Linked DNA regions of Mus musculus. The protein of the gene in region 3 purifies or fractionates together with the protein of the main gene of each other region. This does not show direct contact. Links are inferred from orthologs where the notes say so. Each region holds a gene or a part of one and is shown on either strand. Other genes may lie near its edges.

The links. The genes of interacting proteins can lie anywhere in the genome.
Region 1: the proteins of Polr3gl (region 3) and Polr2f purify together in Homo sapiens (affinity purification with mass spectrometry; 3 studies listed by BioGRID and IntAct, with this or other methods). This does not show direct contact. The link is inferred for Mus musculus from reciprocal best matches to the Homo sapiens genes POLR3GL and POLR2F.
Region 2: the proteins of Polr3gl (region 3) and Crcp purify together in Homo sapiens (co-immunoprecipitation; 3 studies listed by BioGRID and IntAct, counting the BioPlex papers as one, with this or other methods). This does not show direct contact. The link is inferred for Mus musculus from reciprocal best matches to the Homo sapiens genes POLR3GL and CRCP.

Annotation. Positions count from the first base shown.
Region 1 is NC_000081.6:79,144,318-79,148,147, reverse strand, and holds part of Polr2f (DNA-directed RNA polymerases I, II, and III subunit RPABC2), read right to left. Parts: intron 3,555-3,830; coding exon 3,485-3,554; intron 2,096-3,484; coding exon 1,965-2,095; intron 1-1,964. UniProt on the Homo sapiens protein: DNA-dependent RNA polymerase catalyzes the transcription of DNA into RNA using the four ribonucleoside triphosphates as substrates.
Region 2 is NC_000071.6:130,056,799-130,060,628, forward strand, and holds part of Crcp (DNA-directed RNA polymerase III subunit RPC9), read left to right. Parts: intron 1-2,906; coding exon 2,907-3,056; 3' UTR 3,057-3,830. UniProt on the Homo sapiens protein: DNA-dependent RNA polymerase catalyzes the transcription of DNA into RNA using the four ribonucleoside triphosphates as substrates.
Region 3 is NC_000069.6:96,577,245-96,580,979, forward strand, and holds the end of Polr3gl (DNA-directed RNA polymerase III subunit RPC7-like), read right to left. Parts: intron 3,660-3,735; coding exon 3,591-3,659; intron 3,263-3,590; coding exon 3,206-3,262; intron 2,846-3,205; coding exon 2,772-2,845; intron 2,668-2,771; coding exon 2,554-2,667; intron 1,345-2,553; coding exon 1,258-1,344; 3' UTR 628-1,257; downstream 1-627. UniProt on the Homo sapiens protein: DNA-dependent RNA polymerase catalyzes the transcription of DNA into RNA using the four ribonucleoside triphosphates as substrates. Specific peripheric component of RNA polymerase III which synthesizes small RNAs, such as 5S rRNA and tRNAs.

The DNA of each region.
Region 1 (3,830 bases), on a different chromosome or scaffold from region 3:
AGAGGGTGCTGAGCCCCCAAAGAGCATCGAGCCCTCTATGAACCACTTCATCAGACTCTACTCTGTGTGTTCAGGTCTGTACATGTGTGAGCACATGCATGCTATAGCATGAAGAAATCAGTTCTCTGCTTCCACCACGCGGGTTCCTGTAAATGAGGCATCTCGACCAGCTCAGCCATCTTGCTGGTCCCCTTTAGTAACATTTTTGCCTTCTTTGTGCTGCAAGCTTGCCTTTAGGCTGTACCCACCCATAGCTTTCAGCACCAGGGACACGTGCAAAACCACTGCCCTGCATCTGCCTCCTAGCTCTAGCCCCTCCGCGAGGCGCCTGCTTTTCTGTATCCTTTGCAGGGCACTGCCCACACTGCCTTTACATCAGAAGCTCCCTGGGGAGCTAGAGGTGATGTCTTCATCACCTCTGCATCCTCGACAGGTGCAGTGGTGAGCACTGCTAGATTTGCACAATGAAGGCTTCCTGCTACAGGGCAATCTTAGCTAAAGGAACATGTGTCCCAGAACACTCAGCAAACTGGAAATGTCTTGTACCTGTGATGTCCCCGTGCTAACTGGGAGCCACAGACAGGCCCCTGAGCATCTGAGGTATCTCTAGTATTGGTGTGTGTGTGTATGTATGTGTGCGTGCTTTCTTTTCCTTTGTTTGGGTAGGTGTTTTTTGTTGTAGTGGTGGTTGTTTGGGGTTTACTGTTATTGTTTTTGAGATGGTGCCTCACTGTGTAGTCAAGGCTCTCCTGGAACTCCTTATGTAGACCAGGTTGGCCTTGGAGTCACAGAGATCAACACACCTCTGGTTCCTGAGTGCTGGGGTTAAAGGTGTGCACTGCCTCACAGGGCTGATTTAATGGCCACATGTAGCCAATGAGTGCCATAACAGAGACTATCCTTAGGCCACTAGGACCACATATCCCCCTGAAGGTGGCTTTACTCAAGGAGCCAAGAGTGCAGCCAGGCTGAAGAAAGGTCTATAGCTGAGGATGGCTGAGGTCAACCTTGACTGTACATAAGACCCTTTACCGAGGCAGACACTGCAGTCAACTTTACCCAGGGCTGTATGAACCCGTGGTAGGGATGCTCACAGCCCTATGCAGGCCTCCCCAGCCCCATGGGAGAATGTTCTGCTGTTGCTGTGTTTTTCCTTCTCCCTAGTCCATCCTGCAGCACCCACGCGCCCCATACCAACAGTTTCCCTTAGGCTTGGGTCTCCCACTAGAGTTCCACTAACACCCTGCCTCCTCTGGATGGGCTGAGCTCACTGGCCGGCCATCCAAATTTAGAAAAACAACATGCTCTTCAGTTTCCTAGCGCCCAGAGCCACCGTTGCTCCAGACTTTCCCAAGTGAGGGGCCTGCTTACTGGGCTGGGCTGGCCAGCCTCCCTCCCATCAGCGTAAGCTAGAAGGAGCTGTTGCAGCCTTGCCTGAATTCACTCTTATTTTGTTTGACCAACTGACAGGAATTCTCTGAACTCAGGTAATCACATGTACTGGGCTCCACCCCAGACCTCTTTTCATTCTTTATCTTGGGGCAGCGTCTTGCTAGTTGCCCAGACTAGCCTAGAACTCACTCGGTAGTCCAGGTAGGCCCGTGAACCCATGATCCTCCTGTGTCTTTTTTGTTTGTTTGTTTTGTTGTTGTTTGTTTTTTGTTTTTCGAGACACGGTTTCTCTGTATAGCCCTGGCTGTCCTAAAACTCACTTTGTAGACCAGGCTGGCCTTGAACTCAGAAACCCGCCTGCCCCTGCCTCCCGAGTGCTGGGATTAAAGGCGTGCGCCACCACGCCCGGCTGACCAGGGTTCTTACTGTCACTTCTCATGTCACTTCTTACATTTTCCCACAGGTGCCCTAAAGCACTGCACAAGTCCTGACACACCAGGGCTGGGCAGGACCAGCAGCTTGGGCTCACTGTGGTGAACTGACAGACACGACGGCCAAAGGGCAGCACTTACGCGATCTGAAGAGCCCGGGTGCCCAGCACCCGGGCCCGCTCATACTTGGTCATGTAAGGAGTGGTGATCCGCTTCTGGTTGGCCTGTGGTCGCTCACCAGATGGGAGAATCTCGACATTTTCCTGGCCCTCCTGGATAGCAAGCAAACAAAGAGGGGAAATCTCAGGGCAAGTTTTGGATCAGGTAGGACGATGATGACACAGAGACTTCCCACCACCCTCAACCCTTTCTGGATGTCATGGACCGTGCAACCACTCACTGACACCACGCAATCCTTAACCGCATGCAACCTTGTAAGGTAAGGATTGTGGTCCCCAATCCAGGGGCTTCAAGAGTCAGCCAACCTGACCAAAACCTCCAAGCTAGCAGTAAAGATGACGGTGTTCAGAACTCTAGAGCCAGCCGCCTTGCCCAAACAGCTGGCCCTGTAAGTGGTGAGCACACCCTGAACCGGAAGCTCAGGACAAACACCTGCTCTTTCATATGGCAAATGAGTCACTGGGTCAGGTGACTAGAACAGTCATGGTAAATGAGAGTCAAACACATACTGAGCAAGAACCTGCTGTCCTCTGCTCTATTTAGGCGAGAGAGAGAGAGAGAGAGAGAGAGAGAGAGAGAGAGAGAGAGAGAGAGAGAGAGAGAGAGAGAGAGAGAACACACGAGACCATGGGTTTCATCCCCTGCAGCACGCATGCACAAACGCACACAGGAATAATGGTGATCTGACACAAAGCAAAGAGTTTCTGATAGCAATGGCGGCTGCCAGAGAACTGCGCAGCTCATGATCCGTTTACATGATTCTAAAACCAAGACTTAAGGGTTAGGGTTTGCCTCATAGAGTAACCTGCTTGCTACCTAAACTGGAGAACCTAAATTTGGGTCTTAGCCTCCATGTAGAAGTCTGGGTCTGTAGCAGTGTGCTACAGGCATAGCCACAGAACTAGTGGTAGAGTCAGAAGGGTTTCTGGGGCTTGCTGGCTGACAGCCTAATTGAAGCACTGAGCCTCAAGTTTAGAGAGACCCTGTCTTGAAAAATAAGATGGAGAAGGAGAGAGGATGACCTCTGACCTCCACATGCATTGCACAGGTAAGTGCGCCTGCATACAGCACACGTGCACATGCATAAAAATACATAAAAAAAAAAAAGTAATTGTTTGCTGTGTGCTTACTACATGCTGAACCGTATTTAGGATACAGTAGTGAATAAAACGGACCAAAGTTACTTCTACCTGTGCCTTTAATCCTAGCACTCAGGTGGCAGAGGAAGGCTGATTTCTCGTGAGCTACAAGCCAGTCTGGCTTAAATAGTAAGTTCCAGGCTCTATACTAAGATCCACCACCACCAAACCATACATAAGACGACACGATTATCCCAAGACCTAGTTGAGGTGGCACTCAGACAAAGGCCCGGAGCAGATCCATGGAATTGCATTCCTGGAAAGTGAACAGGGAAAGCCCTTGGTGAACGCTGCCCGTCCCTTGTCCGGGCTGCAGGGCAGAGGCCGAGGCTGGCTACTGACCTCCTCAGCATTTTCCAAGTCGTCAAGTCCTTCGTCCTCCTCAACGTCATCAAAGTCGTCGCCGTCGAAACTGCCAGAAGAAACTGGTGGTTAGAGCATCACCGGCCAGAACCAGAGATACAGCCCATGTCTCAGCAGTGTCGGACAAGGGGCCGGCAAATCTCAACAAGGGAACCAAACTCTGGAGGGTCACTCTGTGCCTCCAATCATGTGCCATGTGTCCCCACAGTTTGCTAGGACACCTTCACTGTGGTTTCCTTCTCTGTGAACCACGCCAGTTACATGTACACATGGACTGTTCTGGTCCGGGGACTGTGTGTTTAAGGTTTATTTTATCTGTGTGTTT
Region 2 (3,830 bases), on a different chromosome or scaffold from region 3:
TTTCTTTTGACATGTTTTTTAAAGATATACTTCTGAATCACAGTGTTGTTTGTTTGTTTGTTTGTTTGTTCGTTTTTTAAAAAAAGATTTATTATGTATACAGTGTTCTGCCTCCATGCCAGAACAGGGCACCAGATCTTATTATAGATGGTTGGGAGCCACCATGTGGTTGCTGGGAATTGAACTCAGGACCTCTGGAAGAGCAACCAGTGCTCTTAACCGCTGAGCCATGTCCCCAGCCTGTTTTTATTGTTATAACTGTAATACAACTTGAAATATGGAATGGGACGTTCTTATGGGTTTGCCCTTATATGGAACTTGGTCTTTTCCCTCACAGCTTTCAATATCCTTTCTTTGTTCTGTATGCCTTTTGTACCTGATAGGTGTCTCTTTCTTTAGACTGGGGAATTTTTCTTCTATAATTTTGTTAAAATAATTTTCTGGGCCTTTATACTTATTATTTGTAGATTTTGGGTTTCATAATGTTCCAGATTTCCTGGATGTTTAATGCCTAGATTTTAAATTAAAAATTTTTTTAGATTTAACTTTTTTGATTGAGCTACCCATTTCTTTTATCTTGTCTTCAAAACCTGAAACTCTGTCTCCATGTCTTTTTGGGTTTTTGAGACAGGGTTTCTCTGTGTAGCCCTGGCTGTCCTGGAACTCACTCTGTAGACCAGGGTGGCCTCGAACTCAGAAATCCACCTGCCTCTGCCTCCCGAGTGCTGGGATTAAAGGCGTGCACCACCACGCCCAGCTTACTTCCTGAGTTTTTGCTTTGGGTTTTATTTGAGTCTGGCTTCTCTCTAGGGATCTGTTTATTAAATTCCACTTCCACATCCCACATTGTTGTCATTACTTCAGTCACCTGGGTGTTCTCACGGTCTTCACTAAGACATTAATTCACATCCTCTTTAAGGGCCTTGAACATATTTATCCTTGTTCTGAAGTCTTTGTCTTGTGCTTCAGTGACATTGCTTTCCCTAGACCTGTTGCTGCCTTCGGGAGGAGGCACATTGTCTTGGTTGTTCATGTATATGGAGTCATGTCGCTGCCGATGCTTCTTGGTGTAGATATTGGGTCTTGCCTTTGTCTTGTGGGTGTTCTGTTCTTAGTTACCGTTGCTCTAGTCTTTGACCTAGCCAAGTGTAGTGGCTGTGGGGTCCCTGGTAGATAGCATGTCTGTGGGGGGACACAAAGGAATGGGGGTGTGCCAGGAGGGATGGTCCCCTTGGGACTTGGTCTCCTGCTGCCCCTTCCAGCCATTCCTTCTAAAAATTGGCTCTCGTTCAGTGAAGAGGTTTTACTTGGGCTAAAGATGTAGCTCAGTTGCTAGAGTGCCGGCACTCATGCTTTCCCAGCACTCATGTGGCTCACAACTATCTTTAACTTCAGTTGTAAGGAATCTGATATGCTCTTCTGGTCTTAGGAGGCATCAGACACACAAGTAGTACACATGTAGGCAAAATGCTCATACACATAAATTAAAATAAAATTAAATAAGTTAATTAATTAAAATACAAATAAATTAAAAATTATAAAGAGTATTTTCTATTTATGTGTATGTGTACCTGTGTCTTGTGTGTGTGTCTGCATGAGTGTACATGTGGCCTGCAGAGGCCAGAGGAGGCTGTTGGATTCCTTGGAACTGGAGTTGCAGGTGGTTAGGAGCTGTTATTGGTTCTGGGAACCCCACCCAGGTCCTCTGCAACAGCAACCAGTGCTCTTAAGCACTGAGCTGTCTTCTCTTCAGCTTCTCTTTTCCTACTCGTCAGACTCCTGTTCTGGATTCTTCGGAGACAAGTGGGACTATGTGTTAGCTGGCTCTCTCTTGCTCTAACAACATACCTGAGACAATCAGCTTACAAAGAAGAAAGGTTTATTTTGCCTCATGGTTTCAGACTCAGTCCAAGTACACATGGCCTGTTGCTGTGGGCCTGTGACAATGATCATGCTATGAACTGTTCATCTTGAGAAACTAGGAGCAAAGGGAAAAAAGACCAGGGTTCCAGCACCCCCGTATCTGAATCCTCCTCTAAGCCCCACCTATTAACAGGTCTTCCGTCTCCCAGTAGTGCCATAGGCTGGGGACCAAACCTTCCACACACAGCATTTGAGGGGCGTTTAAGATCCAAACAATGTGGCATGTGTTAGCTGGGAGGCTTTCCGCCTGGGAATGCCTCTTGCTAGGATTGTAGTGAAAGTTGTAAGATGTCATGCTTGTAAAATTCCTAGTGTGCCTACAGTCCCACAGGAGGCCCCTACAGAGTTCTGGTGAGTGGCAGGGTAAGGAGAACTAAGGCAAGGTAGAATCTGTGCATCGGCCGGGGATAGAGACCGTGCTGCTCAGGAAAGCAGCGTCAAGTGATTGGGCGACACCACTCCAGTGACAGAGGTGCTTGTTGTGAAGTCCACGAGTTTATCTAGGGCCCTGCCACCCCCTAAAGGTGAATTTCTTTGCACATCCAACATATTCATGGATGGATGGGAATGGAAATAGGTTAGGATTTTCCTTAATTAAAAAAAAAAAACCAAGCTGGGCGTGGTGTTGGTACATAACCCTAATTCCAGCGCTGAGGACACAGAGGCAGGCAGATTTTTGTGTGTTGGACCAGCCTGCTCTACATAGTGAGTTCCAGGACAGCCAGGACTACCAATCTCCAGAGGGGGTGGGGGAGGGAGGGAGGGACAGATAGATGGACGGATGGACAGACAATCTGCTTTTTTGTGTGCCTGCTCTGGCTTGGTCTGGGATTTGGCCTGGTGTCATCCTACTGTGGATCTTAGATGAGGCCCTGGCTGGCTCAGGACCAAGTGCTGGGCTGGCGCTGTGGACTGCATGGCCCGGGTGGGCTGTGATGGGAGACTCACTTCCTAACTCCTGACAGGCTTCCTTTCCCTTGTAGATGGTAGAAGAGAGTGAAGAACGGCTCACAGAGGAGCAGATCGAAGCCCTCCTGCACACTGTCACTAGCATTCTGCCTGCAGGTCCAGAGGATGAACAGAGCAAAAGCACTAGCAATGACGTGGCTATGGAAGAGGAGGAGCCAGCATAGATGTGCAGCTGGCCAAGTTGTTCGTGAAGCTCAAAGCTGCAGCAGCCATTTCCTGGATGTTCAGAGAACTCTTTATTTGGCCTGACCCCCTCTCTCAGTATGCCTGATCTCAGGATTTGTTGGGGGAAAAAAATCACAAAAATAAGATGAAAAGAAATCTTTGTGCTTTGGGGTCAGAGCAGGGCAGGGGCTAAGATGGGGGAGCAGGACTGCAGCTGTCTGGGGTAGAAAGGCTTGTGTGGCCTGTGCCGCACATGCACACAGTGGGAGCTCGTCAGGCGCTTTGATGACTGTTGTAGGCAATGTCAGGCACTGCTGGGTAGAATGGAGCTGGGAGAACGGACTCAGATGGTCACCAGCTCTCAGAGCTGCACACAGCTGCTCTAGGGGAAATGACCCAGAGCTTAGCTCACTGTAGAGGAATGTCCTTGGCGGAATAGGAGATAAGAGAAAACTCCAATCTGAGCCTAGCCTGGTGTACACACCTAATGTGCATGCATGTCACACACATACAAAGAAATTAGTCCAATTTCTGTGGCAAAACCCACAACTCTATAGCCTGGGTGAGTGACAAGAAAAAGAGGCTTATCTTGACTCCTGGTTCCGGTCCAAGGTCAAAGGGCATCTGGATATGGCCCTCTTGTTGCCAGAGTACCCAGGTAGCATAGGCTAGCATATTACAAAACACGAGAAGCGTTTGTTTTCAGAGTCTCTTGCAGCCCACATTGACCTTGAACTTATTATGCGGTCCCTTCTGTCTGTCCTCATCAGACA
Region 3 (3,735 bases):
TCTGGACTCCCTGCACAAAAATAGCTGCAATCACTCTTTGTAAATAAGGACACCATCAAGGTCAAGTGTGAGAAAGGAGAGGGCTGGTGTCCTGGTAAATGTGCCTGACTATGCAGGCTCATGTCCCTGTGCTGCTGGAGGCCAAAGGCTAGGGTAGTCTGTGGGCGAGCCTATGCTTTCCCCAGCGCTGCTTTCAGACAGCATTGCAGATGAGTTCCTGAATGTCCTCCAAGGGAGAGCTGAGAAGTAAAGGTCAAGGGTCAAGGCGGTCACACACACACACACACACACCCGTGTCACACTGGACACGCAGAGATTTGACACTGGTGGCACAGACCTGGGACCACAGCTAGGGAGGCTGAGACAGTTTCAGGCCTGTTTGGGCTACAGGGTTAAGTTCAAAGCCAACTTAGGCAACTTAGCAAAAGCTCTGCCTAAAAATTCTAAAGCAAATATATAAAAAGAGATGGGGGCATGGCTGAGTGATGGAACACCCGTTTAGCATTTGCATGGCTGTAAATTCAGTCCTCTGAAAGGGGGCGTGGCAGGGGTAAGAATGGCTTGACTGGACACCCCCTCAGCCTTGCCTCCGGCCCTTTCCCAGTACACATCACTCTGTTAGACATGTTAGACAGATACAAACATTTTATTTAAAAGTACAAAACAGGCCTTACTCCTCTTGACTGTTCCCACCCCAAGTCTCCCCTAAACTGTCAACGGCTGCGCATCACAGCCCCCAGGGATCACACAGGTCACCTGGATTCTAACCAATTTTTTCTCAACAGAAGTAAATGCTAGTAAGTCTGCTGTGGTGGCGCGTCCCTGTAATCCCAAGGCTTGGGGGGGTGGGGGGGGGTCCAAAATTCAAGGCCAGCCTCAGCTACATACCGAGTTCCAGGCCAGCTTGAGCTACATGAGATCTTCTCTCAAAAAACAATAACAAAGCTGGGCATGGTGGCGAATGCCTTTAATCCCAGCACTTGGGAGGCAGAGGCAGAGGCAGAGGCAGGCGGATTTCTGAGTTTGAGGCCAGCCTGGTCTACAGAGTGAGTTCCAGGACAGCCAGGGCTACACAGAGAAACCTGTCTGGAAAAAACAAACCAAGCCAACCAACCAAAACAAAACAAAACAAATAACAAAAATAGGAAAACCCCTAAGTACATAGGGATATTTAGTTCCTGTATCTCAAATCAAGAATGATATATGGGCCCAGGTTTTCAGTCTATGGCCCAGGTTTTCAGTCTATGCCCAGGTTTTTCAGTATATGGCCTCATCCATATTGTCATCGCTGTCCCCTCCAAAGTCCTCTCCATTGTCAAAATATGACATGATGTAATCAGTTTCCTGAAATGTAAAAAGAAGCAAAGATCAGGGGTGATGTCAGAGTTTTCTTCTCTTTGTCTCCAGGCTCTTTCTTCTCACACACACCTTTCCAGGTCTGGGACACCTCTACCTGCTGTTACATTCATTCCTTTTCATGCGTATAGGTGCTTTGACTGCATGTATGTGTATACTGCTTTCGTGCTAGAACCCTCGGAGGCCAGACAATGGCGTCAGATGCCCGGGAACTGGAGTCACCGGTTGTTGTGAGCCACCATGTGGATGCTGAGAGTGGAGCTCGAGTCCTATGGAAGAGCAGCATGCGCTCTTAACCAAGAGTCGTCACTCCTGCTCCATGTTATACAAGTTAAAGTATTTGTTTGCCTGTATATGTATGTTATATGTGTGTGTCCAAGTGTGCCCTGGTGCACATGTGGAAGTCAGGGGACAACTTGCAGGGGTCAGTCCTTCCACTCTGTGGGTTCTGGGGACTGCACTCAGGTCATCAGGCTTGGTAGCAAGCCCCTTTGCCCTCTGAGCCATATCACCCGCCATGTTCCGTGTTTTGAGGATAGGTCAGGGATAGATGAACTGGAGAAAGGCTTTTGGTGGCACTGCAACTCTCTGAGAATGTCTCCCGTGTAAGGGTTGAGAGCCCAGGGTTAGTGAGATGGCTCAGTACAAAAGGCCTTTGTTGTTAAGCCAGAGGACCTGTGGTCAATAACCAGACCCCACACGGGAAAAGAGAGAGCCAACTCTTGCAAGTTGTCTTCTGACCTCCACACATTTCACACACACACACACACACACACACTCATGCACACATGTAATAAAAGATGGCTTGGATGTTAAAGGCCTTTGTTGCTCTTTCGGAGTTCAGATAACTTGGGCAGCTCACACCTGCTTGTAACGCCCAGCTTCAGGGGTTTGGAGACCCTCTTCAGGCCTCCTCAGGCACCAGAACACGCTTGGTATGCAATCATACAGAGTCTTGTATGCTAAGTCTGGAGGCAGACTCATATGTAACCCCAACAGCAGGAAATAGAAGCAGGGGGGCTTCTGGGGAGTTCCTGGCCAGCCTGGCTTGCATAATGGAGACCCTGTCTCAAAACCAAAACCAAAAATAAAACAACAACAAGAAATCTTGAAAAGAAAAAAAAAAAAAGAGTTGTGAGCCTACAACTTGTAAGGGAGAAAGGAGGGGTGGGGTGGGGAGGAGCAAAGCCCCCTCACCTCCTCATGCTCCTCTTCATCGTATTCCTCTTCCTCCCCCTCTTCCTTCTCCTCCTCTTCTTCTTTCTCTTCATCCTCCTCCGAAGTCACTTCCTCCTCCTTCTTCTCTAGCGTCTCATGTGAGGATGAATAGGAAGAGAAACTCACTCACAGAATGCAGGGAGAGCTGGGGCTCCAAGGGACCGGGAGGCCAGCTGTCTATCGCACTTCCTCCTCACCTCTAGTTTCTGTATCGTCTCCTCCTTATCGTCTGTGCTCTTAGGGGGCCTCTTGGGAAGGATAATGGTGGTCCCTGTTTGGAGGATCAAAAAGTGAGAGGCCTTAGTACATCTACTAGCTTTCTTTCGGGGTTTTAAATTTGGGGTGTGTGTGTGTCTGTGTGTGTGTGTACGTGTGTGTGTGACACACACGCGGAAGTTAGAATGAGTTCTTCCTTCCAACAGTGGGTCCTGTGGATTGGTGGCTGGCATCTCTTATCAGCTGAGCCATCTCTCCCTCCATCCTAGCTGAGCCTACTCCACCCTCTTGCAGCAAACACGGCACTCTGCTGCCCTCGTGTGGTCTCCGGCAGCAAAATGTGGCGGTCTGCTGCCCTCCTGTGGTCCCCGTGGCACCGGCTGACAAGCCCTCATCCTCCTGCAGATCCACTCACGCTCCTTCTGTACTTTCCGCACTCGAATCTTGAGCTCACTGGGGAGTCGCCGCCAATCTGGGAAGAGTGGGAGTGAAAATCAGCAGGACCCTGGCCGGCTGGAGGCTTCTGGGAGTGATGGCTGGCGCTAAGGGGGAGGGGAGTGTTTAAAAGGAAGGACGGAATGGGGGTTGGTTTGAAGATTTTTCAGAATAAAATTGTAGGTTTGACGCTTCTGGAGAGGTGGGCACTGTTGTTACAAATAGGGTTTCCACGTAGAACGCGAGAGTGTTGCAGAGCACATCTAAGACTCTAGATTTAGATGTACAGGAAAGGAAGGTGACAGTTTGAGGTACCTAAAGAATCTGAAAGGAGGGCATTCGGAGAGGAGGGGCCAGTCACTTACCAGGGTTCCAATCGATGGCGTTGTCAATAGGCCCAGACATCTGATACTTGTCTGAGTAACGTTCCACATCTGGGGGGCGGGTGGGGGGGGGGTAGAGCCCGTGAGTTAGAGTTTTAACCTTAGAACATCTGTCCTAAGGGTCTGC